2 linked regions of the Alligator mississippiensis genome follow. The protein of the gene in region 2 interacts with the protein of the main gene of each other region in a pairwise test. Links are inferred from orthologs where the notes say so. Each region holds a gene or a part of one and is shown on either strand. Other genes may lie near its edges. The genes, in order: RAB11FIP2 and RAB11B.

Region 1 (16,663 bases), on a different chromosome or scaffold from region 2:
CAGCCCCTAACATGTCACTGAAATTGAAGACTGGATAGAATCCAATCCAGATAACTCTGGTTATAAATGTGAGGATTGAGTCTCTACAGATGTGGCAGGAATTACCTTTGCTTCGCCTAAAAAGAGAATATGTTCCCATTCATTGTTCAAGTTTTCATTCTGGGGATACTACTGGATGATCAAAGTTATTGCTTCTAAGACAGTCCGGCCCCCACCTCCCCACTCTTCACCCCATCACAATATTATGATTGTTACCTCTTGCAGCCAAAGTGTTATGTAATGTCAAAGGGGTTAAACTTGGTAAAAATTGTTGTGTTTTATTTTTTTCACTTTTTAAAAACAGAAAAGGCACCAACCACAAAAAAATTCTGAGAAGCTGAACAGAAAGCTCAGGGCAACCATTCACAGTGATATGCACTGGTAATTAGTTTCAGGGTTGAATTTAAGGTTGCTTTTGGAAGATACCTCTTTCAGAAATTGCCTCTTTCCCATGTCATCCAGACACAACTACAGTCAAGACCCCATAGCCTAACTCCCCCCAGGATAAAAGTAAGGTGTCTGTTCAAAGGGACGTTCACCAAAAGCAGTTATTAACCTTGGGAGAACCACTGGTTTGAAACAGCCTTCTTCTATCGATAAAAGAATTAGGCCCCACCACAAGAACTTTTACAAAGGCTACTAAGGACACGCGAGCCCAATAAAATGACAACCTTTTGCACAACAGGATATATTGACTGGGTTTGATTTCATCTTTAAATACTCTATTGGTTTCAAATAAGCAAAATCTACCAGTGACTCTCTCATCTGACTATTTTATATCAATGGCACAGGCTTGGGATACATACTTTTTTAAAACTATGAATCTAAATAATTTTTTTCAAGTGTCAAGCAAAGATTTGTTGCTGGTTAGGTCACAAAAAGGAAATAAAGCATCAATCATCCTCAAAACTGCAGTGAGAAACAGAGAAGCCCAAGTTATAACAATTCAGATAAATGTTGCATTTTGAAGTATAACTCTGTGTAATAAATTAATTCTCCAGGAAAAGCAGTAAAGGAATTGGTAATAAACGGCATGGAGGTAGATGGTGACAAGAAAGAAGAAGTTGCTAACGGAACAAGTAACATCAAAAGCAAAACTGAGTCAAAATTTATTCTTAGACAGCTCTATCAATTCGGCACACAAGAATAAGAACTAAATGCAAACATTTTTAAAAGTTACTACTGTACAAAAATATGGCAACATCAAATTATCAGCATTTATGTCATGCTTTGTTGGGTGCCAAAAGCTTTTGGGCAGAAGTGACCTATAGATAAACAGAAGCATTGATAAGAACTTACACCTGGCTTTAAAATTTTATTGTATATAGGAATGGAAAAAAGAAACAAAATTACCAGTTGCTAAAATAGCTCCTTTAATATGGATAGCAGAAATCTTAATGAGAAGTCCTATTCCAAAGATGTCTTCTAAATAAATCTGAGCATTTTTCAATACTGTGAGAATATTAAAATATAAAAACAACAACTTTGCATATGAAGCCTGGACAATGCAGTGGATCAATATTCTAGGTTTTCACCTGTGGAGATGTGGATTCAAAATGAACACGTAAAAGGAGTTGATGATCATATTAGAGGTCCCAAAGGACCAATACACAAATCATCACGCTGCCACTACACGACTGGCACTCTCTTACCAAGGAAGTGCTAAAATAACAGTACTGCAGGTGCATTGGCTGAGGTGTCTGAAATAAAGTTGGAAAGTGACTGAGTCATATTTGGATCCAGCCACTCCTATAACTAACACTTTCATGAGTTTGAAAAATCATCAGTTGCGGAAAGAAAGAGAAAATACACTGTGTGATATTATGTAAGATTTTTTCCATCAAATTATGTTGCTTTATTTTCTTAAGTCTAGAGCCAGAATGATGCACAAGCCCTATCGCTATGCCTCTGCTTGAAAACTTTATTGCTTGGAGTATTTTGAAAAACTTGCATGTTTTTCCTAAGGTGTCACAGGCAGCACATAAAAAAAACCTTAATGAAAAAAGCCCATTTTTCCTATCATAATGTGTTTTTGAAGCTGAAGAGAATCTGTAAACATACTTCTGTCTAATAAAATAGGACCTGCATGTCACATACCCTGCCGTTTTCCTAGGAATTCAAAATCAGCTGGTAGCCTTCACTTCTCATACCTATTTTCTAAAAAGCACTGGGGAATTGCTGACAAGGTTCAGCATTGTGCAGAATATTAAATATCTTTTTTGTAATACTCTAGTGACTCTTGAGTCTGTCTGTTGCAGCACCATATGTACAGCTGTGTTGGAAAGAGGAAGCTATTAAATATATTAAAAAGTAGAAATATTACCAATAGACACTTCATCAAATAACTGGATCTCATTTATCCCCAAACAAAGCAAGAAATGTTAAGGTTACATCAACACAAGAAAAATCACTCTGGATGTAATAATACCACAAGCCTGTTGAACATATTTGAAAGCAGAAACATTGTTTAATAAAACAGATTAGTGTTTCTGAAACAAAGAAAATAGCGTTTAGGTATGAGGTTTCTACGCAGCTAAGAACAATGGACCTGATATTGAGACACTAGGCAGCTTTGGTTCCCACTGGCATAACTGGAATTGAAGTTCATGTCTGAAAATACCATACCCACGTCAAGTGGCAATTACAAAGTTAACAGAATATTATATGAAGATAGGCATTTAATAAAAGGAAAGTCAAGAAAGAAAAGAATGTAAACAACACTCATTTTATTTGAAAGGCTAAATTCATATTATACACACACACATCTACATACCTCTCACACACACATGCACAGATCTGTCCTCTTTGAAACATGCATAGATCTCCAAATCAGGAGTAACAGGAAACAGCATTAACATGTATGCACACATTCAGAGTAAAATTTTCAAAAGCACATATGTTCATAAGAAGCATAAGTCCTATTCCAAAAAATGGTTTATTGCCAGATGTTTCAATGCAGTTGAAACACCTGAAGATGCAGAGAGGTATACAGTGGGATTTTCAAAAACACCTAAATACCTTTTCCCACGGATTTCAAATGGGAGTTAGATGCCTAGGGGCTACTGAAAAATACACCCAGGAGTCTATCTGGCCCTTGGGCACCTAAAAGCCAAAGTCTCAGTGATTTTTAAAGAGCTGAGCCTCCTAGGTACCTAAGTGACTTGGAAAATGGGGCAATAATTTATCCCATAGACCCAGTCTTAAAATGGGTAAATAGCAGTGGACTCTGGTACTCTTGTGGAACTGCTCTGACTTCAGTGAGGCTCTGCAGGACTGCAGTAGGCCACTCACGTGCTATGAAATGCAGTACAAGGGTCTCTCCATCAGACTTTGACAGTAAGAGCTCTAAGATATAGGGGATATGGAAACTTGTGACAGCCACAAATACACAAAAAAGAAACAGTGAAAAAGACCTAAAGTTTAATTCAGTTATCATAAAAACCCTGTTAATTACCTCAGTTTGTGAAGTCAAGACAGTGAGACAAGGAACAATTTTTGTTATAGTTTATGTTAAAAAAAAAAAAAGAGTACATTCAATCTATAAAGTTACACCTTGCTTTTGCAAATTTCCTTTCCTGTGCCTTTGTGACAAGGTATTTAGCATAACTCAGATTCATTGGCATCAGACAGACCATGCTACGGGCAGCCTCAAACTTGAGACCTCTGGGCTGTTAACCGTGCACCTTAGTACCCATGCCACCCTAACACACTCCTACCATTGATTCATTGGAGTAGAAAGCATGCAAGCAGGCCCAGAGTTTCAAAACCATATTTTTAACTTAAAGCAGTAATTTTCAACCAGGGTGCCAGGGCACCTTGGGGTGCAGCAAGATCTTTTGAAGGATGCCGCAAGGAGAAAAGCAGGTGTGAGAAGGTAAGTGCAGGCTCAGGTTCGTCCCCATCTAACCAGGTTTTGAAATGGGATGCTGCTCAATTCTGAAGTTATGGAGGGGTGCCTTGAGTCGAACAAGGCATTCCTCTCGTCTAAAAATGTAGAAACTAGTGACTTAGAGCTTTAACTATATTGTGTTTGGGGCCAGTACAGTTAAAACAATACGTCTCTAATGTAGACAGCTACTCTGCTATAAAGCTCTGCATACGTATACAAGTTTTTAACATAAATGCACAGGAATAACCTATGCTGGTACCTTTATGCCAATGTAACTGTGGCCACATTAGGGGCCATAACAGTTAATTAGTAAAAAAGGGGAAAAAAAAGACACAGAGCCCTAACAGCACAATTTAAATTAGTATTACAAAACAAAGATCTGAGTGTTGATCAGTCTTTACATTGCTGTGCTTGATTAAGCACCCTTACTGCACAAAATGCTATTTATAAACCTAAAAGAGCCATTATTTCCATTTGGCATTCAGAATTTGTTAAGGGAAAAAAAAAAATCACAATTTGATTTAACAAAACTCATGGAAGTTCCTGCTAGAGCAGAAACTTCTCTACCAGTTACTCTGCATGGGCCTGCAGCATAAAGTAGCAAGCAAGATTAAGGCCCAAGATCTACTGAGCATCAGAAAAGTACGAGGCTACCACGGCAAGCTTGAACCAGAGTTCAAAGACGACCAAATGAATAAGCTTGGACAAACTAGAATCACGCTGTTTGCAACAGATGTTAATATGGACACTATATGAGTTTGAACATGATGGAGTTTAAACACGTGACAGAGTTTGAACAAACCCAATACAGACGTTATATTAGGCAAAGTGATGCTACACACATGATGGAGTTTGAACGAATCCAATACAGACACTATATTAGGCAGTGATGTGACACGCATGATGGAGCTTGCCTAATATAATGCCCGTACTAGATTTATTCAAAGTGATGCGACACACATGATGGAGTTTGAACGAATCCAATACGGACATTATATTAGGCAAAGTGATGCTACACACGACAAAGTTTGAACGAATCCAATACGGACACTACATTAGGCAAAGTGATGCAACACGCATGATGGAGCTTGCCTAATATAATGCCCGTACTAGATTTATTCAAAGTGATGTGACACACATGACGGAGTTTGAACGAATCCAAAACGGAGACTATATTAGGCAAAGTGATGTGACACACATGACAGAGTTTGAACGAATCCAATACGGACATTATATTAGGCAAAGTGATGCTACACACGACAAAGTTTGAACGAATCCAATACAGACACTATATTAGGCAAAGTGATGTGACATGCATGATGGAGCTTGCCTAATATAATGCCTGTACTAGATTTATTCAAAGTGATGCTACACACATGATGGAGTTTGAACTAACCCAATACGGACACTATATTACGCCAAGTAATGCTACACACGACAAAGTTTGAACGAATCCAAAACAGACACTGTATTAGGCAAAGTGATGCGACACACGTGATGGAGCTTGCCGAATATAACGCCTGTACTAGATTTATTCAAATTGATGTGACCCACATGATGCAGTTTGAACGAATCCAAAACAGAGACTATATTAGGCAAAGTGATGCGACACACGACAAAGTTTGAACGAATCCAATACGGATATTATATTAGGCAAAGCGATGCGACACGCATGACGGAGTTTGAACGAATCCGAGTTGCGACCCCGGTTCAAACTTTGCCGCCCACCTTGATAACAGCGGCACTATTCAGAAGCAAGAGAAAAATTAAAAACATAACATTCACAGCGTATATTAAAAATAACATTTTTTTTTTAAAGGACGGAGATGTCCGAAAGCCCCGCTGACTTCGGGGCAGCTACGCCCGCACCCGGGTCCCGCCGGCAGGACAGCGCGTTATGCACCTGCTCGGTTTAATTTGGGGCACGGAGCCGGATCAACGCGAGCCAGCCCAACAAGACGAAAAGGGCACTTACTCCGTTTTCCTCCGTTGCTTGTCCTCAAAGATTGCGTTCAAATTGATAGCCACCTGCCCCAAAAACTTGTCCAGCCCCACCAGCGACCTGTGCATGACCACCAGGCAGAGGATGTACTTCTCGGGGCTGCCTTGCACCAGTAATCCCGGCAGCTCAAACGAGGCCTCTTCTTTCCACACCGGATCCAGCGTCTTCTCGGCCACCGAGGTGGAGTACTTCTCCTTGCCCAGCTGGATGATGGTGTACGTGTCGTTGGTGCCGTTCTTGCCTTTGGGCTTCAGGGCTTTGGCTTGCAGCACCGTGACCTGCACGTGGGTGGGGAACCACCGCTGGGCTTGCTCGGACAGCATCCTCTCGGCCGGCGCGGGGCGGGGGGCAAATACAAACCGGCGCGGGGGGCTTTAAACCCGGGGCCCCGGAGCAGACGAGGAGCCGCTGCTCATACCCTGAGGGGGGGTTCTCCCAAATCAGCAGCCGCGGGGATGATGTGCAGAGGCCTCCGCCCGCCCGCCCGCCGGGGCCGGCGCTTCACCGCGCCGCACCGCGCCGCCACTTCCGCCTTCCCAGTCCCTCAGGCCGCCGCGCCGGGCAGGGGCAGGGGGCAGGGGGCAGAGGGCAGGGGGCGGGGCTGCGGGCAGGGGGCGGGGCGAGCGCGGACGCACGTGGCAGGGGGCGCCCCGCGCTCGCGGGCTGCGGAGACCGCCTGGGAGGGGGAGGTGACAGCCAAGGCAAGGGGAAAATTCCCCCCACAGTGTGGGATCTTCACCCCTTGGGGGGGAACAAGGTGGCAGCCGGGCTCTTGGGTCATCTTTTATGAGGGTCGAGAACTTGAACAGCCGCGCTGCCCCGTCTGTAGGGGGCGTCGTAGAGGACATGGGCAACGTGTTGGGGTCTGCGCGTGCACCCCCTGCGGAAAGGCGCCGTCTGCGGTGGTCACCGAGTGCCGGGGGCACGCGGCGGCCGTGTCCCGGTGTGCGGCACGGGTACCACCGGGAGGGTGGCCATCGTGGTTTTCTGCTATTCTGGCCTCTTGATACGAAACTGGATGCCTTGATGTTTGATGAAGAGAAGAATAGAGATGGCTCTTTTTCTTGAAGAGAACAATAGAGGAAATAAAGGCGTCCGGGTTCGTATCAATGGAGGATACGTCCGCTATCGATACACATGAAGGCATCCAGTTTTGTATCGATAGAAGATATGTCTGCTATCGATACACGTAAAAGCGTCTGGTTTCCTATCAATAGAGGATATGCCTGTTATCGATACATGTAAAGGTGTCTGGTTTCCTATCAATAGAGGATATGCCTGTTATCGATACATGTAAAGGTGTCTGGTTTCCTATCAATAGAGGATACGTCTGCTATCGATAAACGTAAAAGCGTTTGGTTTCCTATCAATAGAGGATACGTCTGCTATCGATAAACGTAAAAGCGTCTGGTTTCCTATCAATAGAGGATACGTCTGCTATCGATAAACGTAAAAGCGTTTGGTTTCCTATCAATAGAGGATACGTCTGCTATCGATAAACTTAAAAGCGTCTGGTTTCCTATCAATAGAGGATACGTCTGCTATCAATACATGTAAAGGCATCTGGTTTCCTATCAATAGAGGATACGTCTGCTATCGATACATGTAAAGGCGCCCGGTTTCATATCAATAGAGGATACATCTGCTATCGATACATGTAAAGGCGTCTGGTTTCGTATCAATAGAGGATATATCCTCTATTGATACACATAAATGCGTCCAGTTTCATATCAATAGAGGAAACGTCCACTATCGATGCACACAAAGACTTCTAGTTTTGTATCAATAGAGGATCCATCTGCTACCGATGCACATAAAGGTGCCTGGTTTCGTATCAATAGAGGATCCGTCCACTATTGATACACATCAAGGTATCTGGTTTTGTATCAATAGAGGACAGAGGGCAACCGGACTGTTCTCTGATGACCACCCTAAACCAGTCGTACGCAGGCCACTGGTCAGGTAACAGATTTATTAGAATTACTTTATATGATAAATATTTGCAGCTGGTACTTAAGGTTGAACTGAAAAATTTGCTGGTGGTACATAAGGTTGTGTTGTTTTAAATTTGCAGCATGCCATCTGTCAGAGTTTGGGAACAGCTGCTTTGGACCAACATGGCTACAACCAAAAATCCAGCAGCACGGGTTAAACAAGACACTGAACATGTTCCCCCAGTTTGCCCCCGTTCGCATCCTTCAGCAGCTCCTGTTGTGAAACTTTCCCCCCCACCCAGTCACTGCACTTCTGTATTAAAAGGCCATATCAAGGCTCAGGCAGCTAGTTTTTTTTTGTCTGCTCTTTGTTTTTTTGCAAATATATAGATAGATCTAAATATAGATCTATCTCTATATATAGAAATAGAGATAGATATCTAGATAGAGATAGATACATATATAACTCCACCTCCAACGCTCTCCCAGGTGGCCCTTGTGGTTGACTTGGCAGCTCAAAGCACACTAAAAACCTGTTACACAGTTCACACCGTGCAACCGCACACCCATGTACCCATCTGCATACCCATACCCCCACCACCCACTACCCTGCTAAGAGGGTCTACTCCTGTAAAAGTCTATGCCAGACCCCTTTCCACCAGTTGAGGTCTGCCATTTCTTTCCCATCATCCTCTTCTGTCTTCCTGTAGTACCAGTATGTTTCACTTAGTCAGTCCCATTTTAAAACAGTCTTCGACGGTGGGGTCTGAGTGTCTGTTTAGGAATGGGTCCTGGCTGTCCACAGGCTCATGCAGCTAATCTGAGGGTCTGAGCCACCCCAAACTTGTCACTCCTTTCTGCTGCTTTAAAGGAAGTTTTCCAAATCATTTCCATCTTGTGATTAAGGGTTTTGCAATGTTAGTTTAGAGAAACGCCATTTCTTAAGGGTTTTTTTAATTTTTTTTTTTTTTTTTGCATGTCATCCTGGCTTGATAACTTTCATTTTAAATAAAAAAATAATTTAAAACATAACGTGTTTTAAAGGATCTCTGGAAGCTTGGGAGAGGGTGTAGACTAATGCACAGTATTAACTGTTATTCTATAAAAAAAATGACACATTTAATGTTGCAGTACTGCACATTCCACCAAAGAAACCACAACAAGCAAGGGAATCAGCAGCTAAGTCATTTGATGCTTTGTCCACATTTTAGTCATCAGTTCCTCTTTGTAACCTTAGCTTCATTTCTTACGCCCACAGCTTCTGCATTGTCACAGTTATCTCAAAAAAGTTCCAGGAGCCCTCAAGCTTTGACTGTGGGCTGGTGATTTGTTCATGTATTTTGCTGATTAATATAGCGGCAGTGTGACTTTCATCAGTTACAATGGATGTAGCTTTGTGTTGGTATGTGCTTTGAAATGGTGTCAGACTGCAAATTGTTTTCCTAGTAAGGTTGAGAAAACTTACCTGAATGAATGATCTGTATTAAAAGATTGTTACACATTCAGCATTTTATGCATAAACTATCATTGTAAGTTTGCATGTGTGCTTGCACGGACATACTATGGTTATGGTCAGAGTTAAGGTTGTACATTCATCGTGCAGGATGGGCAACCAGTTCTCAAATATGTCCTTAGACCGACACGGCTACAACCTACACCCCATTTCTCAAATAAGCACACATGCATATCCCTTGCCTCTTTCATATCCCTTCCAGCTTCCTCAATTTTCTTGCCCCAGATGTGTGTGAATATCTGGGGCTTGGGAGGGGGGAATAGTGAGAGCATAGCATCATGGAAGGATGAATGGCCATGACTGAGGAAGGGAGAGTTAGCCAGGATCTTTATAAAAAGTGGGAATGATAGATAATTTTTGGAAGCATTATAGGGACTTGACAATGGTGTTTTGCAGAAGGCTTGGCTTAGTGAGGCAGTTCACTGGAAACCTTGATTATATCTTTAGCAAGGAACATATAGTTGGCTTATTCCTTAAAATTAATTTTACCATATACAAATTCTGTTTAAAGGACACATTCTACATTGCATTACTTCTGAAACAAGCATGAAGAACACCTTCTCCAACCATAACTACAGGGGATTTTTAGATCGACTATATTTACTCATTTGACATTTAAGGTAGACATCAGGAATTGCTTGCTATCTCTTGGGGAAAGTGCCACGAACATTTTTAACATATAGTTAAAACCTTTGTTTTTCCCTGCTCTTTTGTAGTTTTCCCATCCTCAATCCCCCATGGTATGCTATCACTTCTCACTATACTGATGTATCTAATGTAAACTGTTATGTCCCGTGAATAAGAAGCAACATAGAAAGAGCCCATGGAAATTATTGTGCATTAGACTGGCACATCTCTACCTTCTCAAACCTGTAGCAGAATATTAGTCTTGCTTCCCAACACCTCCAGCACCTCACCTGAGGTTATACCTGTTCCACATTTTTGTTTTCCAGTTTCCGACTTATATGATGTGGTTGGGAAGTTATTGGCTATACAACCCCTACTTCTTCCATGTCTACACCCAAAGAAACTGGTGAATCTGCACACACATCTTATTCCTTCTTACACCTGTTTATGGTCAGGTTACAATTGTGCCCTTTGATTGTGTCCTCTTTGGAATAGGGGTCTTACTGTACAATATAGGTTATTATAAGACCTCTCCCCTCAGAATGCCATCTCCAGCAAGTGTGCCTCCTTGCACTAGGTTGGATCATTAATCTAAGTGTGATTCCCACTCCTGTTTTCTAAATTACCAACAGGATGTGATCAAAATCTACATGTCACAGTTTCTCTTGTTGCTGTCTGTGATGATTTCATGCATATATGTATGTATGTGAACATTTTGTTGTGTGTGCACCACTTTGGTTGCGAGGCAATACAAGGGCATTCCCTATAGCCTCCCCTGCCCCCTCCTTGAGACCTGTGTTGTTGACACAGGGCAAACAATGCAGAATGAGGCAAGGTCATTAATATGGAATAACTTTGCCCTAGCAATACAATGGGAATGTTAATGAGAATGGCTAAACTACAAGAAACCAGTTTTTCCAGTTTGGACTTCTAGTGAGTAGTAATCAAGGAACAGATCACCTAATGGGGTCTTTGATGCTAGCTAGAAACTCACATGACTGACTGGACTGAAAGTCTCAAATGTTAAAATCTGTTCTTACATAACCAAAATCCAAAGCGATCTTGGAATGGTGAGGCCAGTAGAGAGGGATTTTATGTACAGTTTATTTTTTTGCATGGATTTTCTCTAAAACTCAAAAGATTTCCAGTGTGTATGCATGCATTTATGTTAACTTTCCAAAGTCTGCAATTCCTGTTGCAACTGTTGTAACTGTTTCGTAAGGTTCAAAGTGTAAGCAGGAGTGTCAATGAAGGGAAGGTATAATTATGCTGTGGAAGAGTCATGATTCAGGACTGGTGCTGAGGCCTAGGTCGACTGGCCTGTAGGTTCAGACTTCTAAGAGGGTACTATAGACAGAGACTGCACTCTGGATGTGAGCCTTAGAGGACAGAACCAGAGACATTGCCTCTGAATTCTGGTCACCCTTTTTAAAAAAAGATGAACTCAAGCTGAAACAGGTACTGAGAAGGACTCCTCTGATCAGAGAAATGAAGAGTCTGTCATATGAGAGGCAATTTAAAAAGCATGGTTTTCTTATCCTAGCAAAAAGAAAGCGAAAATAGGATTGCTCCCTCTAAATCAGGAGTTCAAACATACGGCTCACAGACCATATCCAACCTTTCAAACTCCACCATCCAGTCCCCAGTGCTGTTCCTGGGTCTGATCAGACCCACACAGGGCATGGTGTACACCTGTGGTGAGGGGCCGGTCTGCAGCCTAGATTGGGCTCGTGGACCTCCTCCCCTTCCTCCATCCTACCTGATTTGGAGTGGCTGGAATGGACACCAAGTGTGGCACAGTCCAACCAAAGCAGTAGCCATGGTTGGTTACCCTGGCTGGACCATGCTACATGTGGCACCTACTCTAGGACATGTGCTGCATGTGGTGCTCACAAACACTACATGCAAGGATCCTACACTGGTTGGAGCAGGGACCATGTGCAGTGCAGTCCTGGACCTGCCAGGGCAGGAGCCACACATAGTGCTGTTCAGCTGGGGTGGCCACTGTGTCCAGTGTGGTGCCCACTTCAGCTGGACTGTGCTACACGTGGTGCCCATTCCAGCCACTGCAGGATCTGCGCCCCATGTGGGGCAGGTTCCAATCCAGCCAGAGTGGCTGCTGGAGCAGGTATTCTAGGAGAAGAGGGAATTCATGGGTCCAATCCAGCCCACAGACCAGGCCCCTGCCACTCATTCTGCCTACAGGGCCAGATGAGTATAATACCCCTGCTCTAAACGCATTATGCAGTGAACACCAGGAAAGAACATTTTAACCTATTAGGACAATTTTAATCTAACAGGACAATATAAGCACATTAACTAAAAGTGTGTAAATTGATTGTAAATGAATTAAGGCTAAACATTAGAAAAATTAGAATAAGAAATTAGAATAATTTGTGCAATTAGGTTCTAGAATAGCCTTCCAATTCAGAGAAATGGGTCAAAGACTTAAATCTTCTTAAAATGGAACTAGATGAGCTTAAGAAAAGGATCTCATGTTCAACCTTATTATATGACACCATGATTGCAACAACAGATTGGGTCTGATGACTCAGGAAGTCCCTTCCAGTCTTATGTTTCTAACTCATCCTACCCCCAGAAAGGCATGAGCATGTTGGACCCAAGGTCTAAGTCCAGTGCAGCAACCTGGTAAGTGTGCACCAGGGCTACAATAGTGCCATGGGTGATGGAGGGCAGGGATAGGGTTGGTTAGTCAGAGTTGTAACATTCTCATCTGAAAACAGTTGACTGAATAGCTCACTAACAATGAGTGTCACACTAATATTTACAGAAGGCAATTATCAGCCTCAAATTTGAGTATTCATTACAGAAACAGAATTTCCAATGTGAGTTTTTGCAACCGTTACCAAGATTTATGACTATCCAATCAGGAAGCAGAAACATACTGAATGACATACATGTTTGGTCAACCAATGCTTGCCAACTATAAAATGTTGAAAACAAACAGGTTACGAGCGCTCTGCCAGACAAGAATTATTCATCGGAATTATGTGGCAAATAATTCCAAATAATGAATACATTTCCAAAATAGCACGAAGTTCTCAATTTACAAACACAAGAAATGGAAAAATTAGCTCATCGGATAAATTATTTGCTATATTTTATTCACTTACATCTACCAGTACAGGCAACCATGGTGATCGTCTTCAGCAAGTAACAGTTCTGCATGAAATGGAAAATGAAATCAGAGAATGGAATTGTATCAGAGGCGCATACGGCAGAAAAAGAGATCATTGCAAAGGCAGCCAAAATGTCAAGCCTTATGTTTAATCAGATGCATTGTTGGCTGACTTGTTGAGAGTTGAGAGGGTATTTCAAATTAATGGAAATGACAGAAATCTACTGTAATTCTTGGAATCTCCCCCTCCCCCCCCCCCTTTTTTTTCATATTGATTTCTTGGGCCAAGCAAACAGAAGAATGAGTAAGAGAGAGGGATAGCACACATGAGGATTAATTCTATATTAAACACTACATAGCTGCCCGTTATTTTGTGATAAACAACTATTAATCTTTTTCATCTACATCCATTAACTCTGATGACATAGACCCAAGCTTTTAACTCTCCAGTATTTTTGTTGGGCTCAGAGCTCAAAAGACAGATATGGCACTAGTCTGCAAAACACAATCCACTTGGGAGCAATGTTGTGATAACAAGACTGAATGTACTCTGGGCCTCTTCCTGCACCATGCCATGTGGCCTTTGAGAGAGAACTGCAGAGAGGAACCAGCCCAAGCCTGCAGCTGGTAGAAATATAAGCACCAAATCAGGGACCTCTGGGCACGCAGAGGACTTCCTACAGTTCTGCCTGGATTTTCTCTCTTTGCACTGCTTGGCTCTTTGCTTCAAATATCCCCCTCTCTCCAGCTCCACATCTGCTGCTCCCGGCCCTATCCTCCTATCTTTCCCCCTCTCTTTCCATTTAGCTTATATCCACTCCTAAACAAACCCACCCTAACTATAAAAAAGTTGTGGAACTAACATGTGAGATTTACTGTCATCTCATCGTTCACCTGGATTGTGTGTTATGCCCTTCTCCTCACAATGAGCCTACCTTGTCTACTGAGACTGTAAGCTTTGTGGGGCAGGGACCATCTAACTATGGGGTGATTATACTGTGCCCAGTATATTCTTGGTTGACTCGTACATGCCATCACAATAAACATGACAAATAATGATAAAGGAAGTACGTGAGTTTCTGAAGAGGAGTTTGAAACAGATGAACCATCCATTGAAATTAAACATCTATCTATCGATCTATTTATCTATCTATCCATCCATCCATCTATATTTATATATAATTATATATATATTATAAATATATATATTTTATAACTATATGCATGATATATATATAATTTGTACAGGTTTAGGGGAAAAATCATGCGTCTTTCCTCAAGAAATCCTGAGTCTCATTGCTGCACTGGAACAGAACTGCATGCTATACCAGATTGTGAGTAAATACTGGATACTCCCAACAGAGAATTCACTTCCAATAAAAGTGAAAGGTCATTGCTTCCATGGCTTTGCAAGCTTACTGTCTGTTGCAGAGGCATAACTAACAAGTTTTGCACGCTGGGCAAAGATGCTGGAGAGCAGGGAGCACAGAGCGCTACCTGTAGTACACGGGAGATTTTACCTGCCCTGGGGACTCAAAAGACCTTGGCTGTTGTTGCCACCAGGTGCTGTCCATGTGCCCTGACTGCTGCCACTGTCCAGGCTCCTTTGGGACTGCTGCTCTGGTGCTCCCTCTAAACTGGCACCCAGAACTGCCTCACTCATCCACCCCTATTTATGCTATTGGTCAGGTTCAAAGGCACTCAGTTTTTATGGCAGCTATCAAGTGCAGTAATCACTATGAACTTGATTCAGCTGCTTTCAGATCTTCCAGTTGAAGACTTCTATTCACTTTTCTGGGAGTTACAGTGGCCTTTAGGGATACAGACTGAGAAAGCACTCGGCCATGATTCAGCCTAGCCTGAAAAGTTACATAGGGGATGGATTTGGCTAAATGTCATTCCTTTTCATCTTGGACACATAGTACCTTACCTTTTATTTTATGTAAGTAGATTTCTAACCTCTAAAGGTCACAAACACATTTATTGGGTGAGAGTGGGAGCTGCAGTGATTCCAGAAGGATAACCAAGAATGTTATCCATTTTTGCAGCTGACATACTTTGGCAAACCCCCCAAAACTTTTAATGATAGAAATAAAAACACTGAAAAAATATGGCTCATGCTCTCTATGGAAAACTGGAGATTGTTATCATTGCCTGAACGTGAGGTTTCTCTGGAGTCATTTTTCTCAGTTTTAATTCTCTCATTCTTTTACAATATATTGTCTGTTAATAAGCCTCCAAGGATCTCATAGACCATTACCTCACAAATTATCCTAAACTCCATTAAGGACAATCTCAGCAAATATTGAAAATACCATTGTTTTCCTCTGGTGGAATAATTTTAAAATCGGTCTCCTTTTTTAGAAAGAATCCCACGTAATATATTTTCATGTTACAAAAAGTTTCAAGCAATAATACTTTGATCTCCTACAAGCCCTGTCTCTCAAGGTTCTTGAAGTGCTTTATGAAAATTAAACACTTAGGGCATTTTTACACATGCTGCAGGATGCGGCACCAAGTGCTTTAATTGGCAAGCCGCGCTTATTAAAAGTGTCCATGCATCCCATGTATCAGCATCACCATGCATCCTTGCACTGAAAAAATGGTGATGGGGTGCTTTGAACGAAAGCACATCCAATGTATTTTATTTCGAAGTGCACTGCCGCCAATTTTTCAGCACGGAGACATGCAGTGACACTGATACATGTGATGCAGAAGGCTGCCGGAGTTCATCTGTTTCCATGCTCCAGCAGAGTAGGCTCTGGAAAATGAAGCTGCAATATAATGCAGGATTTGATATGAGTTAAGATACATGACTTAGTTTTCCCAAATATTTTAAACTCCTCTATTTCCATCCTCCTCTTGTGTGTTAAATTGGTAGTTAACTTGCTGGAATCCTAGCCCACTTTTGTACAAAAGCTATGCATTCACTGTCAAGAAATAAAAGGTCACCCTTTTGAGGTTTTATCTTTTTTTACCTGTAAAAGCAATTTGAAACTAATGTACATACACCTCAAGTCTGAACCTCGAACTCTGCCCATGGCTCAGCTGCTTCTGGAGTTCTTTTCATAGTCATTCAGTGTCAAACCTACCTCCCTTTAAGATAGGACTCCTTCCAGCCTCTTTGGTCGCATCCACATGAGTGCACGTGTGCATTTTGAGGCACTGCAAAATGCACTCTGCACACGAGATTTGGTTCTCCGCACTGCATATTTGCAGCATGAAGCCAAACTTAGATACTGGTAAATCCCAGTGTCAAAAAAAGCACATGGAAAAAAGCAGGATGATGCAAATGGCAGCATTATTTGCCACCCAAAACCAGAGCTACACTCTGGCTGCTGGCCAGGCTTTGCACATCCGGATCATCACCACTGGAGCCTTAGGAGGCTCCCAGGACCCCAGGTAAATCTTCTGGGGCTAGCCCAGGTGCTGACCCCAGCCTCCCTTACCCTACCCATAGCATTTTTCCCCACACCAACCCCATGTGAAGGGGCGTGTGCCAGGGCAAAAAGCCAAATTT
Region 2 (16,670 bases):
ACAAGGTGGGCTGCAGACACCCTGGAATTAGCCACAGCCCCCACGATTCATCCCTTGCCAGCACTGCCACCTACCCTGACCCAACCCCCCCACCGGGAAGAGCCCAGCAGCACTCCCAGCCTCAGCCCCAGGCCACAGCGGCAGCTGGGGATCTCACCCCACGCGCAGATCTGGAGGGCACACTCTCCCCGTGTCTCCCTCAGGGGTGCACACAGTGGCAAAAGTCCCCCTAACCCCCCCCCCCCCCCAACACGCCGCTCGTGACTCCATCCCATGCCCAGCTAAGGCAGCACCTGTGCCAGCCCCACTCCTTCCCTCACAGGGGGACCTTGATCTGCCCCCGCCATGCCCCTTCCCTCCTCTACAGACTTACTGGCTCTCCAAGCTGCCAGACTGCACTCCTGGCCACATGCATGTGGCATTTAAAATCGCCAATATTATCAGTCACATCGGCCAAAAAAAAGCCGATTGCTGATAATGTCTTTTTTCCTTTTATCCGCGCTTGTATGATATGGACTGATGCATCTGTGCACCTCTAATTATCAGAGGTACTGTACAATCATAGTCCCAAAGACTTAAAAACACATTTGTGGTTGCTCAATAACCCTAACAATCAGACACAAGAATCAAGTTGGATAGTCAAATCCCCACCTTTTAAAAGTTTTTTGGCCAAACATCAGAACCAGATGATACAACACCCATTTATTAACAGAGAGTAGGGATGTAAATGGTTAAAACAACAATTATGTTTAGACCATGTGCCACTTACCTTTTAGTGATTTCCAGCAGGAATGACCCCAGCCCCTTATGTCTTCTGCACGTGCCCAGCACTGTGTGGGCCCCAAACTGCTGCAAGGAGCCACAGGCAGGGGCAGCGGGTGCGGCAGAGCCAGGTGCTGCCCAGCTGCAACTTCCCTGTGTCCCCACAAACGGGCTGGGGTTGCAGACTTCTCCTGCACCCAGATCCCACCACCACGGAGAGGGAGGGAGGTGCTGGTCCCTTCCACAGGGGTCAGCCAGGGCCTTCCCACTGCAGCAGCAGGACTCCCAATCCCACAGAAGGTCTGCCTGGCTCCCCCACAGCAGTGGGGCCGTGGCAAGGTGACCAGCTACCCACACCTCCTGCCATGTTTATGCCGCCACGGTCAAGGACATTCCTGGGGGGCAGTGCATAGCAGAGCTGCACAACAGGGATCCTGGGGGGAGCATCAGGGCTGCAACAGGAGCCTCAGGAACACCCAGGGGCTGCAGTCACCACATGAGGGGCTGGCAGCAACCCCTTACACCTAGCGTCACCCACTGCAGCTGCCATGACACCTTCTCAGGTGGAGCCAGCCATGTGCTCAGCCCTATCGCAGGGCTGGATCAGACCCCGTGTGGCCCCAGTACCAGCAGCAGGAAGGGGAAGGATGCAGTGCACCCTGTGGATGCTGCCCCACCGGGACCAGACTCTGGCTTGCCGAGGGAAGGCCTGGCCCAGCAGCATAGAGGAGCCCCCCAGGTCAGGGCCACAGCAGCATGAATGTAGCAGGAGGCTCAGGGAGCCTGTCATCTAGCCTGGGCCCCGCTGCTGCGGTGGGCCTGGGAGTCTCGCTGCTGTTGCAGGAAGGCCCTGTGCAACCCCCGGGGGGTCCCAGCACCTCCCTCCCTCTCCTTGGGATCTGGCCACAGGTGAGGTCCACAGCCACAACCCCTGCCCATGGGAGCGAGGGGAAGCTGCAGCTCCTCAGCTGGGCAGTACCCCCTAGCAAGTCAGCCACATTTGCCACCCCTAGCCCACAGCTCTACGCCAGCAGTGTAGGGCATGCACAGCACTGGGCACACAGTGAAAGTGGCTGGGGCCACGGCCATCCTGCTAGATGTCACTAAACTAGGCATGTGCTATCAGTTAACCATTTAATTAAAGGAAGTTAAAGGGATAGGTTTAAAAAAAAAAAAAAAAGATATTTACATCCCTAATGGAAACCAATAATATAAACATTCATGGTTTGAAGGCAACCCATCAAGGCAGCAAAAGAGTAAGAATTTTTTGGGATTTCAGATTTACCTCACGGGAGGAAAAAAAAGAAAAGAAAGAAAGAAGCTACTTTTGCTTTGTTGGAATGAGGCTGTTTTAAAAGTTCTTCTTTGTTTCCATCTAGATCTTAAATAAGTCTTTAAGTCTTTCCATCAAGACTTAAAACTATTCCCTTTTTTATGATGCAGGCAGATTAGGGGTGTGGCTTTAAACCTGAGATCTTTTTTCAAGCAACACTACCAATAGCAGAAATGGTGCTAGCAACCTGAAAAGAAAGAAAGAAAGAAAAAAAATGTGGTGCAAAGTAGTGCTTACGCTGAGGTGATGGCACGGTATCGTTCCTGCCCTGCAGTGTCCCAGATCTGTGCTTTTATCGTCTTCCCATCCACCTGGATGCTCCTGGTGGCAAATTCCACCCCAATGGTGCTCTTACTCTCCAGGTTGAACTCATTGCGTGTGAAACGTGATAGGAGATTACTCTTCCCAACCCCAGAGTCTCCAATCAACACAACTGAAAACAAACAAACAAAAAACCCACTGTTTCCAAATTCTTACATTAAGATTTATTGAGGGAGTTACCTACGCAATCTCTCATAGCAGGAGAAGAAGTTTATCACGTGAAGCATCAAAAAAACCCCTTAAACCAAGGAAATGCCCACCGTCTGTATCAGTGGTGGCTTCTGAGCCAGAGCCGTTAACATTGGTACTGCGCCCCCATTGCCAAATTCCAACACCCGTTGACAGCCCTGCAGGCTGGATGACAGCCTGGTGTGCCACATTACTACAGTGCAAGCGTTTGTCCCATAGCTAGGTCCAGCACACATGAGTCTCTCCACAAACAGATCCAGCCCCACACTACTCATCCAATCCCCAGGACCAGAAGGCTGAGCAACACTGATCTGTACAAATCAGTTTTTCTTTTGTTACAAGAGTCCTTAAAGTAAATGATTATTTGCAATCTCATTAGCGCATCACGCAATACATGTTTCATTCTAATAACATTCCTGATCCGTAGGGACAAAGGAAATTCACATAAAGGTCAGTAATACAAAAAGGAGTCCATACAATCAAACGTTTGCCTTTATGAACAGGATCCGAAATAGACCCGCTTTCCTCTTTAGAAGTTAATCGGAAAAGACAGTTTCTAGTAGGCTTTACTGTTAATTGTGAAAGACTGGGAGAAACCCCTGACTCTACAGAACAATGTGCCAAACAAACAGAGAAATGACATAAGTAGCACTGAAGATATATTTACCACAGTCCACAAGTTTTATCAGTTTTGCTAAAGAAAATTACAGCATGAAAAAAAAAAAATGTATTGGCACAAAGACTTCTAGTACACATGCAACTTTACAATAACGGAGATTATCCAAGGTAATCATGCTAGCAGCATCCTGGATCAAACCAAAGGGAACAACAAGCACTCTCAGTGAATGGTTTTTAACTCTGGAATGCACTTCCTGTTCACTTCAGCACAGATCTGTTGATCTTCCTACCTTATTATAAGACCTGTTTTTACAGACATTTCCTGAAGGCAAGCATGGATGAGCTGCAGGTGGGGGGCAGCACTGGTTTTAGAGAAATCCAGGGCATGAAGCACTCAGTTTGTAAGAATGTACTCCCAGTCCACAGGATGGATGTTTGTTGGGTAACCTATTTATTTCTCACATTCCTGTGTTTTGGTATTAAATCATAAGTTTTACATGGGGATCAAAAACTGGTCTGAGGAGCACATGCACCAACTCCCTTCATGGCCTGTTTCATATCTTGGGATCCCACAGAGACCATATTAGCAAATTAACACAGTTGTTTTGGAGACAGAATAATAAGCCTGTTCCTGAAGTTAATCTATGCTCAGACAATAAACGACTCCGAAGTCTGAGACCAGAAGGCAAGTCAAAGCAGAAAATAATTATGTTATATACTCACTTCGGCTCATTCCACGCAAAAGAAAGGCAGCTGTATGCTGGATAAACCAAATTACTCATTGGGCACTTGGTTCAAGCTAAAGCAGAAAGAAATGCAATAGTCCAGTCTAGAAGTGGACTACTTTTACCATGTGACTTCATAGGTTACTCTTGGGAGGTCCTCATTCAAGAGATAATGGAAACCAGCTTTTCTCTGGCAGTGGGAGATGCAGTTACTGACACCAAACTGACAAAAAGATAAGTTTCAGATACTGCATCAGACTGCTCCAGTACAAAACACTGAAACCTGGCTAGTCAAAATCCAAAAGGCCTACCAACAAATAGCCTGGCCATATGAACGCACATTCCAATAGCAGGGCTGGAAAGGCGATACATGATACTTGAAAAAAGAAAAAAGAATCCAAGTATCTGGATAAGAAAATCCATTTTTTCCTTATAGTTTTGCAATTAATATTTCAATGCTTTTTTTCCCAGTTGCACTAATTTGAACACAATAAACAATTACTAGAGCAAGTTTCCAGTGCGAACTTTTAGAAATATACCCAACTTTAACAAAAAATGAACACAAGGCTGCCAAATTTGTGATGGATGATATAAAGTGTTTTTTATTATTAATAAGCCTACCTTTATTACAGAAACTTAAATTCCAATTAGATTGGTCTATGCAATTTAATAAAAGCTGGAAGCAAAAAGCATACCAAACAACCAATAGTTTCTTGACAGTCAGCACTTCTTGGCTTATACAATTTGAATATTTTGTAAACATTTTTTCTGCTAACAAACACTTTTCTTGTAAGGAAAAAATAAATTTGAAGTTTGCAGCTTGATGACTACAGTATGTTACCTCAGGGACTTTTAGGGGCTATTATAAAATATTAAAGACAATATAATCAGCTCTAAAAAGACCGACCTCAAAATATTTTTTGCGCCATTTATAACTCAAAGCAAAAGGCTATTTTTTTTAAACTGTCCACAGTCCCCAACACCCCCAATTCATTAGAAGCCAGAGTCAATTTTTTCAGCTTTGCATATTAACAAGTTTCAAGAATGACCCTTACTTGCAGTTTTAATTATTCCCTTCCTCCTGATGCAGACTCCAGCTTGTTCTTCTATTGCAGGGCTGTCCAACTTCTAAACAGCCAGGGGCCAAATGTTCCATGGATCATACACCTGTGGGCTGCAGCGCAGTGCCACCTGCTACGCCATAAATGGCCAGGCCAGTTGCCTCCCTTCCCCACACCACATACATGCACCCACTCCCACTGTTACACTGTGCACCTGCCACTTCCAGCTCAGCTTCCAGGGCTCCCGTGCACTGTGCTGCACTGCTGCAACCCTGGGGCACGGCCAGGCAGCACAAGCCAGAAGACCCTGTGGCAGCTGGAGCAATGGGGAAAGCAACAGCTGGGCAGGAGCCCAGTTGGACAGCTGTGTCCTACAGCTGGCTGTGCTAGGCAGTGCTGACTGTGGATAACATTGTTTTGGTAAATAAAAAACCCAAAGAGATCTGACTGTGAAGATGCTCAGACAGGGAAGCTGGTAGCAAGGACATGAACTTAAAAAATAATTTAAAAAAAAAGGGGGGGGGGGGGCGCTAGACAACCTCACTTATAATCTTAATGCAGGGCTGTCCCACTTCTGTGGCTGGGGGCCACAGCCCCCCTGCACCTCTCCCTACGGCACCGTGTGCTCAAGCAGCTCTTTGCGCTACACTATGCACCTAGGTAGGTGGTACACCCCTCCAAGTATGCAGCACCCCACACCACCTGGCCAGTTCACCAGCCACAGGCTGCACCTACTACGCTATGCTTCCCCCTGAGAATCCGGAAGGAAATGCCATGCCCTTGGCTGTTGTGGCCAGGGTGATGGGGAGAAGGGCAACCAAATGGAAGCCTGAAGGCAACAGATTAACCTCTCACATGCTGCACATGGCCTTTGGGCTGACAATTTGGCAGCCCTTCCCCCAAGCATGATATAAACTTAAAATTAGCTAATAAAGTCCGTTTTGTAGAGTATAAGACGACCTTTATGTCGCTATCTCTTCTACATTCCTACCAAAGACAACCACTGCCATATATATAAGATGACCACTGACTCGAGTCTTGTCTTCCACGTAAGGAACCTAAAAACTGCTGTGTAGCAACAGACCACATAGAACTTCCTCATCTATTTGATTCTTCGTATACATATTTCTTTAGCAGATACCGCTCACTACACAAAAAGTCTACTTTACATGTAGCAACATGCAAACAATCCCTTCTTGACATGCTACTCTCCCAACGCCATCTTTTTTAGACTATGTAGCTGCTAGAACAGAGATAGAGAACTCATAAAGCTGCAAAAGGAGTCAGAAGCCAAACAAAAAAAAATATCACTTGACCATTTTTTCAGTGCACCCCTTGCTATTTAGTGCTGGCAGGAAGAAAAGAAGGAAGATGGTTTTGTCCATCACCATATTACTGCCAGAAACAGACCATGCAGAATCCCCAGTTGTTCTCATATAATTACAACCAGCTACATGATTCGTGAGATCCCCAAAGTCCTGCTGCTGGAAAGGAGAAAGTTTTAACTCCACGACGAGGAGATATAAAGCAAACTTTCCCATGTTATTATTTAAGCACTAACCTGGCATATGGGAGACAGCCCCCCACTTCTAAGTCTCCAATTCATCTAGATAAGACAAGGTTTCTCCCCCCACACCTTTCATTTATGCCAACTATGGCAAATACTTAGTAGTACAAATAAAGAAATAATGATCCCTGCCCAAGGAGTTTAATATCAGATCTCAATTTAGATTTTAAAACGTTACTTTTTACAGTGAGACAAGGATTTCTTAAAGTAATATCTTTTATTGGACTAACTGTATAGTTGCCTCTTGCTTAATTCCTGGACGATCGCAGGTATAACATCACTAACACTACCATAAGATTTTATAGTGTCATGGTTCTTTAGAAAGAGCTAGTATGTGCATACATACATATACACACATGCACGCATGCATGCAATTTTTATATAAAAGTAACTTGTTTAATCATTCCTGAAAGGAAAAGCATTATAAAAAATATCAGACTTTTAAGTTTCAGGACACTAAATTAGTCGGAAGGTTAATAGTGGATAGTTGATCTAGACAGGATTTAGTACCACAACCTGGCAGCTTCACACTGAAATCAGCTACATGTAATTTAAGGGAGGTGGGGAAGAAAAAACATTTTTTCAATAATCAGCTACTCTTAGGACTGGAGAGTTTGCTCTCATTGGGCTCCTATACGTATGCAAGGAGCTGGCTCCGATGTGCTGGAAATCCTGGATTAATCGAGTCTGCTGGAGAGCAGAAATTACCACGCTTCAGCAGACTAGCATCATGTGCATGTGTCTCCATGCTGAAAAATGGTGGTGGAGTGCTTTTAGCTCAAAGTGCCCTGCCGCCATTTTTCAGCGTGGAGGATGCTGACGTGTGATGCTTGGGCACTTCTAATTAGGATGGGGGGGGAAGATGGGGCTGCTTTAATCAGCATGTGTAAAAATGTCCATGGATACTAAACATGAAAGCAGCAGCAGCAGGGGTGGAGGTTTCAAATTTTAGGACATCTATTGTTTCTCACCCATGGGTTGTTTATCATTGATTGTAGGCCGTCCTGAACCCAAGTGGGGCAGAAAACAAACCTAAATAATAAATACATTATAAAATGAGTAGGCCATGCAGGACAGTATATCTGAAGTGAATATCGAAGTAGGAGACACAGTGAAGTATTCATTTTGGAAAAACAACTGCTCATTCCTATTACCGACAGCCAAATTCACACGCATAATCCTAACCGCAGCCGTTCTCTTGAGTAACTGCAGCGAACGGCACATGGAGATGCTGTCACCACTCGCCTTATTTTGCTAGAACAGTGAATGCTACTGAGGACACGGCACTGCTGACCATCAGCATTTCCGTCTCACAGGAAGCTCCTGTTCGCCGTGCTAAACAACATGGAGCGCGCAAAGCCAAAGACTAGGGCTCCTACCACTGTACAGCTAGTGCTGGGGAGTTTGCCAAGCGGGTTATTTTAAGGAAAAAGCGTGATAAAAAAAAAGATTCTTTAGAACTTCAGAGCATCCACCTCAAATGCTTTCTGGACCTCAGACAGGATGACCGTCAGTCTCTAAAAAAGAATAAAGCCAACACTATAAATGACTACAGGCATCAGAAAATAAATTAACTCCACATTAAAAATATCTATCATTAAAAAGGCAATTCCAGTTTATCACTGTCCGACGGTGGGAACGCTGCAAGTGTACGTGGACGGGGGCACGGAAATAACTCCTGGAAGCCCAAGGTAAGGTCGGCAAGGGTTTTTTTCTATGCTAAACCTCATTTTTAGCGACTGTCTTTGGTTTAACCACTTTGGCAGAAAGTCCCACACTTAGCCCAAGGTCACTTTCTGCACCATCGGGACAAGTGCCGAAATGCGGCTTTTGAATTCACTCACTACTGAAACGTGCATTTGTTTCCTTAAAACCGCGTCCCTTTGCTGGGACGAGGGCGACCCTGGCAGCGAGTGCCGCGCTCCTCTTCTCTCTCCTCCCAGCCCTCGGAGAGGAGCTTCTTCCGCAGCAACTCGCAGGCGGTTTTCCTCCGAAGTTGTTGGGAAAAAGCCCCGGGGAGGCAGGAGGAGGCGGGAGCTGGGGACACTCGGGCAGGCCCAGGTGCGGGAAGCAGGGCTGCGCCGGGGGCTGCCCGCTCGCTGCTCCCGGCCGCACGTCGGGGGCAGCGCGGACAGCGACGCGCGCATCTCACGGCCAGGCCCGCGAGCCCTGCCCCTGCCCAGGCCGGAGCCGCCGCGGACAAGGTCAGTGCCGCCCCCCGGGGCAGGGCCCGGCCCACGTCAGGGCGGCGGCGGCGCGGGGCCCGGGGGTGGCGGTGGGGCGGGCTCGCTGCCAGGCCCCTTCCTCCCCGCCCCGCCGGCCGGGCCGCGCTACCTTTGAAGAGGTAGTCGTACTCGTCGTCCCGGGTGCCCATGGCGATGGCGGCGGCCCCGCTCCTCGGCTGCCAGGCACCGACGCGGGCCGAGCGCTGCGTGGGGTGGGGGGGGGGCGCTGCTGCCGCAGCCTATCAGCAGTCGCCAAGGCCCCCGGCGGGGCGGGCCCGGGGCGGTGCCCGCCGCCACTGCCCAATGGGAGACCGGGAGAGGCTGACTGACAAGCGGAGCAACCTATGAGCCGCGAGCGGGGGTAGGGGCGGGGCCTGGCCGCGCGGGGCAGGCTGCGGCGGGGATGTCAGCGGGGGCCGCCCCGCCCCGCCCCGCTCCGAGTAGCGGGCCCAGGAGCCCGGCGTAGGCCTGAGGCCGCCTCACTCGCCCCGAGGGCCTAGGCCCGGCTCAGCCCTGCTTGTCCCCGCACCCCAGCTCTGGCTGCGCCTGGGGCCTGCTCCGCGCCAGGCTGCGGCGCCGGCCGGGAGCGGGGCCAGGCTCTTGTTGCTGGCTGGGGCCGCGGGTGCAGGGGGTTTCTTTAAAGAAAGGAGGCGCGTGGCGGGGCTCACTTCCCAGCTCGGGCATCGCCACGCTGCCTTCAGTCAGTCGAGATGTCCGGGTTGTGTCGAGGGGGGCTGAGCTCGCAGGACGAGCCTGCTGCCTCCGCCCTGGTGCTCGGGTCTGGGGTCCAAAGGGGAGCAGAGCACGCGTCACGCCCGGGCTCTCGTTTCTGCGGCTCGGATGGGAGCGCGCCACCATCCTCCGCACACGGCGGCGAAGGAGCGGGGGTTCAAACTCCTTCCAGCCGCCTGTTATCGCTCTCTCTTCTCTCTTTTCGTTTCTCAACCTAGTTTCCTATTAGGGCCGTGCCAAACGAGTCAAAACCGCGTTGAAATGAAGCTGCCAGCAAAATTTTGCACAGCCCTGTTTCCCATCCCACTCCTATTTTCCGTCCAGGGATTGACCATATCCAGTCCCTATGCAACTTGCTTACACAGAGACAGTAATAACCAGGTTACCGTAGGGAATGTGTTCAGTTTTATTATACTACCTGGGTCAGACTGGAATATGGAGAGAGGTGTCTCTGACCTTGCGGGAGTAGTTAGTAATACTGGGTAATTCGGGGACACTGGAACTAGGCTGATATAGACAGGATAACAAATGTTACTGGTAGTGGTCGGGCACGGTATTTGGGGTAAGACGGCCAATACTTTTCTTGTTGAATGGTCATGCAACGAACAAGAGTCAATACTATTTTAGAGTTGATTTTTATTAAATAATAACCACCTTACAGAGGGTCACTTCTTGATTCAAGATGATTTTCCAGTAATTATGAGCTGTTCTGTGTAAACTGCAAGATAACCAAAATAGGTCTGCAACTGGGGTTTGGATTTCAGAAGAGCAAACTTTGAGCAACCAAGGAAATGAGTTCAAGGGACCAGTTGGATTCAGAGTTCAGGGGATTTAAATGCAGATGAGCCATGCGAATCAAAACCACAAGTACTATCTGGAAAATGTGGATAGGAAAATGTTACAGGCCAAACTGGACAAACTAGCACATTATCCAGGCATTAAGATATACAAGGAATGGATAAACAAGATTGATCAGTAAGGAGAGAGGTCTTTCCCAGGTCAGAAAGTGCAGAAAGGAAGTGATAATGCCCAAAGGCCTACATGAGTTCAAACTTGCAAAGAAAATCAAAAAATAGCAAAAGGTCTGTCAGTCATATAAATGAAAAAGAACTAGGAAGGAAACCTTTTATACCCTGACAATAGGATAGAGATAAAGGACAATCTAGATATGTCCTGAGGACTGAATGAACACTCGGTCTTCAATATGGATGAGGAAGCAAGTGAAGATAGTGGTAAAGTACAAGATGGGGATGAGGAATTGGTAATTAAAACTACCACACGTGATATGAATGCAAGACTTAGCTTGCTTCTTGTGAGGAAATATGGTACAACCAAATATTCTCCACCCCAGCATGCTGAAAGAATGGCACGTGAAAAAGCAATTTCTGTGGCACTGATCTGTCAGTTCAGGTGTAGTACCCTGTTACTGGAGAATAGCAACGATAGTGACTTTATTCAAGAAAGGTGAAAAAAATGGTCCCAGGTAATTACAGGCCCATTAGTATGACTTTAGTATTATGCATGATTTTAGAACAGATTGAAGGAAAAAATAGAGATATGGAGGTAAAAGAAAATAAGACAAGATGCGATATAATTTTATCCAAAAGCAGAGGTGGATCCAGGAGTGTGCAATAGTGCAGTCATCTCCTTTTAATTCTTGACTCACCCATACTTGAAAACCAATTGCTTGGCAAGGGCAGCGGCATTTCTATTAAGGGAGTGCTGAGAGAGTCAATTGACTTCATGACTCCTAAGTCCTCTGATTCCTGCTGATATTTGTCCACTCTGCAAGTGTTAAGGACCCGCTATCCTTTGTAATGGACTTGATGTTCCTCTATTCAACCTATCCTTTCTTCTGCAATTTTGCTGTCTATTAGCCATTCCTGAGTATGCCTCATATTTTTCACAGCCCTGCAGATTGCTTGTACCGCTAGTTAAACACTCAGGTTAAATCTGGTGTGGTAATATTAACTCGGGTGTAGAAATGACTAACAGTGAAGTATAGGAGGCACTGTCAAGATGCTCAGGAAGACTAGATTTTGTTTTGTGAATTTTAATAAAATATGCACATTTAACTATAATGACTACAGGACTAACGACACAATATCTTAGTAAAGCTTCTAGTTTCTCTCTAACTGGAGAAAAATAGGTTGTATTGTATGTGATGATGTAACATACCATCTGCAGCGCTAGGATTTTCAAAATCCTAGATCTGCCCATGTCCAAAGGAGTTCATGTCAGAACAATAACTTAGAGAAGGGTAATACAGTGGACCTAATTTACCTAAATCAGGGGTCTGAAGCTCACCTTGTGCCCTGGACTACAGGGCTCCTTGTAGGCTAGATCTAGCTCAAGGCACACTGGGCACCTATATGCATGCAATGAGTCTGCTCTGACTCACTGAAATTACAGTGTATTGGAGCAGACTTGATTGAGTCTGCTGGAGTGTGGTAATTACCATGCTCCAGTAGCCTCCAGTGTCGCGTGTATCAGTGTTTGATGAGCTTTACTTAAAGCACCCCACTGCCATTTTGAAGTGCAGGGATGCTGATACATGAGATGCTCCAAATGCTTTAATTTAGAGCAGCTTTTGGACTCACTCTATTTAAAGTGCCCTTTCCACACGCCAGGAATATGTTCATAAATGCCCTGGATGCCTGTGTTAGGGCCAGCAGTAATGAATCCAGAATGGGGCAAAGAGTGATGATGAATCCAGCACAGGGCTGCAGAGGCAATAAGGCAGTGGCGATTGCAGATGACACCAAGCTGAGCAGAGTAGTAGATAGGCTGGAAGGTAGGGCTAGGATTCAGAGTGACCTAGACAAATTGGATTGGGCCAAAAGAAATCTCATGAGGTTCAACAAGGACAAGTGCAAAGTCCTGCACTTAGGATGGAACAATCCCATGCACCAGTACAGGCTGGGGGGCTGACTGGCTGGGCAGCAGCTCTGCAGAAAAGGACCTGGTAGTTGCAGTGGACAATAAGCTGAATATGAGCCAGCAGTGTGCCCTTGTTGCCAAGAAGGCTAATGGCATACTGGGCTGCATTGGTAGGTGTGTTGCCAGCAAGTCAAGGGAAGTGATTGTTCAGCACTGGTAAAGCCACATCTGGAGTACTCTGTTCAGTTTTGGGCTCCCACTACAGAAAGGATGTGGACAAATTGGAGGGAGTCTAGCAGAAGGCAACAAAAATGGTTCAGGGGCTGCAAAAACTGGACTTGCTTAGTCTGCAGAAGAGAAGACTGACGGGTGATTTGATAGCAGCCTTCAAATGCCTGGAGGGGGGTTCAAAAGAGGATGGAGCTGGACTGCTCTCAGTGGTAGCAGATGACAGAACAAGGAGCAGTGGTCTCAAGTTGTAGCAAGGGAAGTTTAGGTTAAATAATAGGAAAAATTATCTCACTGGAAGAATAGTAAAACACTGGGACAGGTTACCCAGAGAGGTTGTGGACTTTCTATCCTTGGAGGTTTTTAAGACCCATGTAGAAGGCTGGATTGATCTAGTTGGGGATGGTCCTTTGAGCAGGGGGTTGGCCTAGATGATCTCCTGAGGGCCTTTCCAACCCTGATTTTCTATGATTTCTCTGATGGGCCAAGGAGCCAGAGGGACATATCCACTGGGGATCTCAAATTCTGCCCCAGGACATGACACCTAATGGGGACTAGACGATCCACAACATTCTCTAGTCTCCTTCCCCAGCCCTGTAGGCTAGATGAAACTGCTTGCTCTGTGAGCCAACTCTGGCCCAGAATCTGGATATTTAACACCCCTGATCTAGATTTAAGCAAGCAATTGGTATTGTGCCTCTCTGAAAAATCATAAAATCACAAGGTAGAAAAGGAGTAGCTAAAAGATAGCCTGTGGTTGATTATGTTAAAAATGGAGATTTCAGACTGGAATGGGGTTGCTAATGGCATTCTTCAGGCATCGGTTCTGGGGCCTGTTCTGTTTAACATTTTTGTTAGTGACCTTGGTGCAAGATCTAAGTACACACTCATGAAATTTGTGGCTGATATTTTTTTTCTGGTATTGAAAAATTCAGAGGAATGTAAGAATGTGAAAAGTTCGGTCCTGGGTCAGACCAATGGTCTGTCTAGCCCAGCTTTCTACCTCCAATATGGTGCTGTCTATGGGGAACCTGGGTAACTATGAGGCTGTCTACCTTTCTCTCATCTGTGCATGTCTCCTGGCAGAGTTTCATTGAGCAGAGTCTAGAGGCTGCTTAGATGCATTCGAGGGGCAGCAGGCACTAGCCTGCTCAGTGTCCCCCCTTTCCCTCCCTTTTGGGACCCTAATTATTAACTTTTGACTTGCACTCCTGTTCTTGTTCTTTCATCTGTTGTCCCCACTATTCAGTTTGTACAGGGTTAGAGGTCCCCCTCTAACTGCTTATAGTTTCCTGGTGGGCTTAGGCCCAACATTTGCATGTAGTAAATACTTCCAGTAGCGGCAGCAAAAGATGCTTTACAGAGAGAGTAGGTGCAGAATCACACCCAAATCTAGCATAATCCTTCCCTCGTCATATCATCCCTGGCATCATCTATCATGGGTTTGGGGATGTCAGATGATCCCGGATTGCTTTATGCAATACCTATTAATGGACCTGTCTTGCATAAATCTGTCTAATCCTTTTTTAACCCTAGTTATACTATCTGCCTCTGCAACCTTCTGTGGCAACAACTTCCACAAGTTACGTGTGCAGTGTAAGGACGTACTTCCTCTTGTGTGTTTTAAACATTTCTCGTGTTTATTTCAGTGCCCCCTAGTCCATATAATCTGGGGCTTTGTGAATAATAATTCCCTAGTCACTTTATTGACACTCTCCACGATTTTATAGACCTTTATCATAACCCTACTCAGCCTGCTCCTTTCCAAAACAAGGGGCCCTAGCTTTTTTAGTCACTCCTGGTATGGCAGCTGCTCCATACCTCTGCTCATTGTTGTTTCCATTCTCTCTATCTTCTCTATGCAATTTCTGTGCTGGAGATGTCTGGCGATCTCATGCTGCAGGGCTTATGCTGATTGCCTCTAGGAGCCAGGAAGATTTTTTTCCCTTATGAATGCTTTACTTGACCTCTGTTTCTGTTGCTGTTTTTCCTGGACTTCCTCTGAAGCACTTCCTATGCATTTTAAGGGATAACTTCATTTGCATTTGAGTGATTTACTACATAGGGCTGGGTGTCACGTGCCTGGCCCACTTTATTACAGTAAAGTCAGTTTACTAGGTAGTAAACATGTTTTGAATCAGCACCCTTAGTGAAGACTATGACTTCCCTCTCCTCTTCCTCCTGATTTACCAGAAAACCCTGATTGGTTGTTTATTAAATAGCTTTTTCAGGTTGTTTTGTATATTAGAAATAAACAGATCTTATTTATCTTTATTCTACTGAAGGTTTTTCTGATAGGTTGAAGAATTAGGAGGGGGTTTTATATCACTGGAAATTGAGGGTTAATAAACTGATGGAGAAGAGTTTTTTTGATTGGATTTGTTTTTGTCATTTCTTTGGGACAGGTGGCTTAGTGTTTTAGATGCTAATCTGTGGAAGACTTGGGTGTGGTTCTGCTCTGTCATGAGCTTCTGGTCTTATTGTTGGCAAGTCGCTTAGGCCCAGATCCTCAAAAAGATTTTAGATGCAAACATTGCACTGATTTTATCTGGGCCCCAAATTACTTTTGACGGACTGGGTCTTAGGTTCACTGTTGTTCACGTTCCCATCTGTCCAATGGTGACATCAGTGCTTGCGTTGTGAGGTTCTCAGCTAAAGTTTCGAGGACCCAAGATATACAGGCATTATGGTGGTACTCAATGAGTATTGTTCTGTGTGTTAAGTACAAGGCACAAAACTAAAAACACCAAGAACACCTTGCAGCATATCAAACAAAATCAGGATGGAAGAGGACACACCAGTGCCCTGCAACTACAATGACAAGGAAGCAGTATATGCTCAAAGGATAATCCTCTACCCTGCTGAAGAGTACTCACATACGATGTTGTCCAGCTACTGAGGACCAATTGTCTAGCTGTTGGATGAGGGTTTGCTACCATGACACTTTGACAGAGAAATCCCTATTGATCCTGGCCACTTGTATTAGTTCCCATGCCAAATGCCTCACTAACCCAGACATGCACAGTAAGCATACCATGTCATGTCAGGCACCTTTCAACAATTCAGAGCTAGGCAAGGTTTCCTTGCTTTCCTTCTGAGTCTCCTTGTCAGCTTTCAGAGATCATTAAAGAACTGATGTGTTTTCTGCCCCTGACCACTCTTGATAGTTGTGCACCAATATTCACCACTAGCAGCAAAATAACAGCATGGGCCACTGCCACAGAGTTCCCCACTGCTACCCTGATAGAAAGTGACTGTTAGGAGCCTCTTGTTGGCACAGAAGTGCTGACGGGGGCCATTGGGCTAGCCATGTCTGTGTGCCTCCTGATTAGCTAAAAAAAGCAGCAGAGCCCTTACTAAAGCCCACTTGAAGCAATGACCTTCATGCTGTTCAGTTCACCTGCTTCAGAATGGCCTTGCTCCAGACGGTTTGATTCCTGACCTCTGACCTTAGTTCTTACCATTTCTGAGAAGAGGAACAGTTGAGGTAGCTGGATTTTGATACCCTACCTGCACCTGCTAAGGATCCTTCAGAGCCAGGTGACCCTACAGGCCCCTGTCCTGCTACTAGAGAATCAGAGTAAGAGTAAAAAATTGAGGGGCTGTGATTTTAAAGTGAGCTGCTGAGAGGCCAGAAGGGGTGAGTTTGGGGACATAAGCCCAGCACCGTCAGCAAAGAGGGTGAGTCTGGCCCACACAGAGTTGGAGGCAGGAACTCCCTGGTGCCGACTGGTGGAAGCAGCACTGGGAACTGGGATTGCTAGGTAGGCCCAGAAGGAAGAGCTATGGCAAAGAAACCCACAGCAGTTTGGGGTGGAAATGGGAGCCAGGGAAAAAACACCCTGACTGGATTGGGAGCAGGGTGGCCTAGCACACTGGGACTGATTGAAGGCAGGGCAGCCAAACCCACTGGGACCACTGGGAATGAGAGGTGGTATGAATTATAAGCATCAAGAGGGAGAGACAATAACCAGCCTGGGTGCTCATCCACACCTGACTCCAGCTGTTGTATTCTGGTCTACTCAAACA

What was found.
Region 1: the proteins of RAB11B (region 2) and RAB11FIP2 interact in binary tests that used the Homo sapiens proteins (3 or more experiments, as listed by UniProt). The link is inferred for Alligator mississippiensis from reciprocal best matches to the Homo sapiens genes RAB11B and RAB11FIP2.

The regions. Positions count from the first base shown.
Region 1 is NC_081829.1:88,727,967-88,744,629, reverse strand, and holds the start of RAB11FIP2 (rab11 family-interacting protein 2), read right to left. Parts: upstream 6,483-16,663; 5' UTR 6,254-6,482; coding exon 5,904-6,253; intron 1-5,903. UniProt on the Homo sapiens protein: A Rab11 effector binding preferentially phosphatidylinositol 3,4,5-trisphosphate (PtdInsP3) and phosphatidic acid (PA) and acting in the regulation of the transport of vesicles from the endosomal recycling compartment (ERC) to the plasma membrane.
Region 2 is NC_081839.1:10,093,096-10,109,765, reverse strand, and holds the start of RAB11B (ras-related protein Rab-11B), read right to left. Parts: upstream 9,021-16,670; 5' UTR 8,951-9,020; coding exon 8,911-8,950; intron 2,529-8,910; coding exon 2,333-2,528; intron 1-2,332. UniProt on the Homo sapiens protein: The small GTPases Rab are key regulators of intracellular membrane trafficking, from the formation of transport vesicles to their fusion with membranes.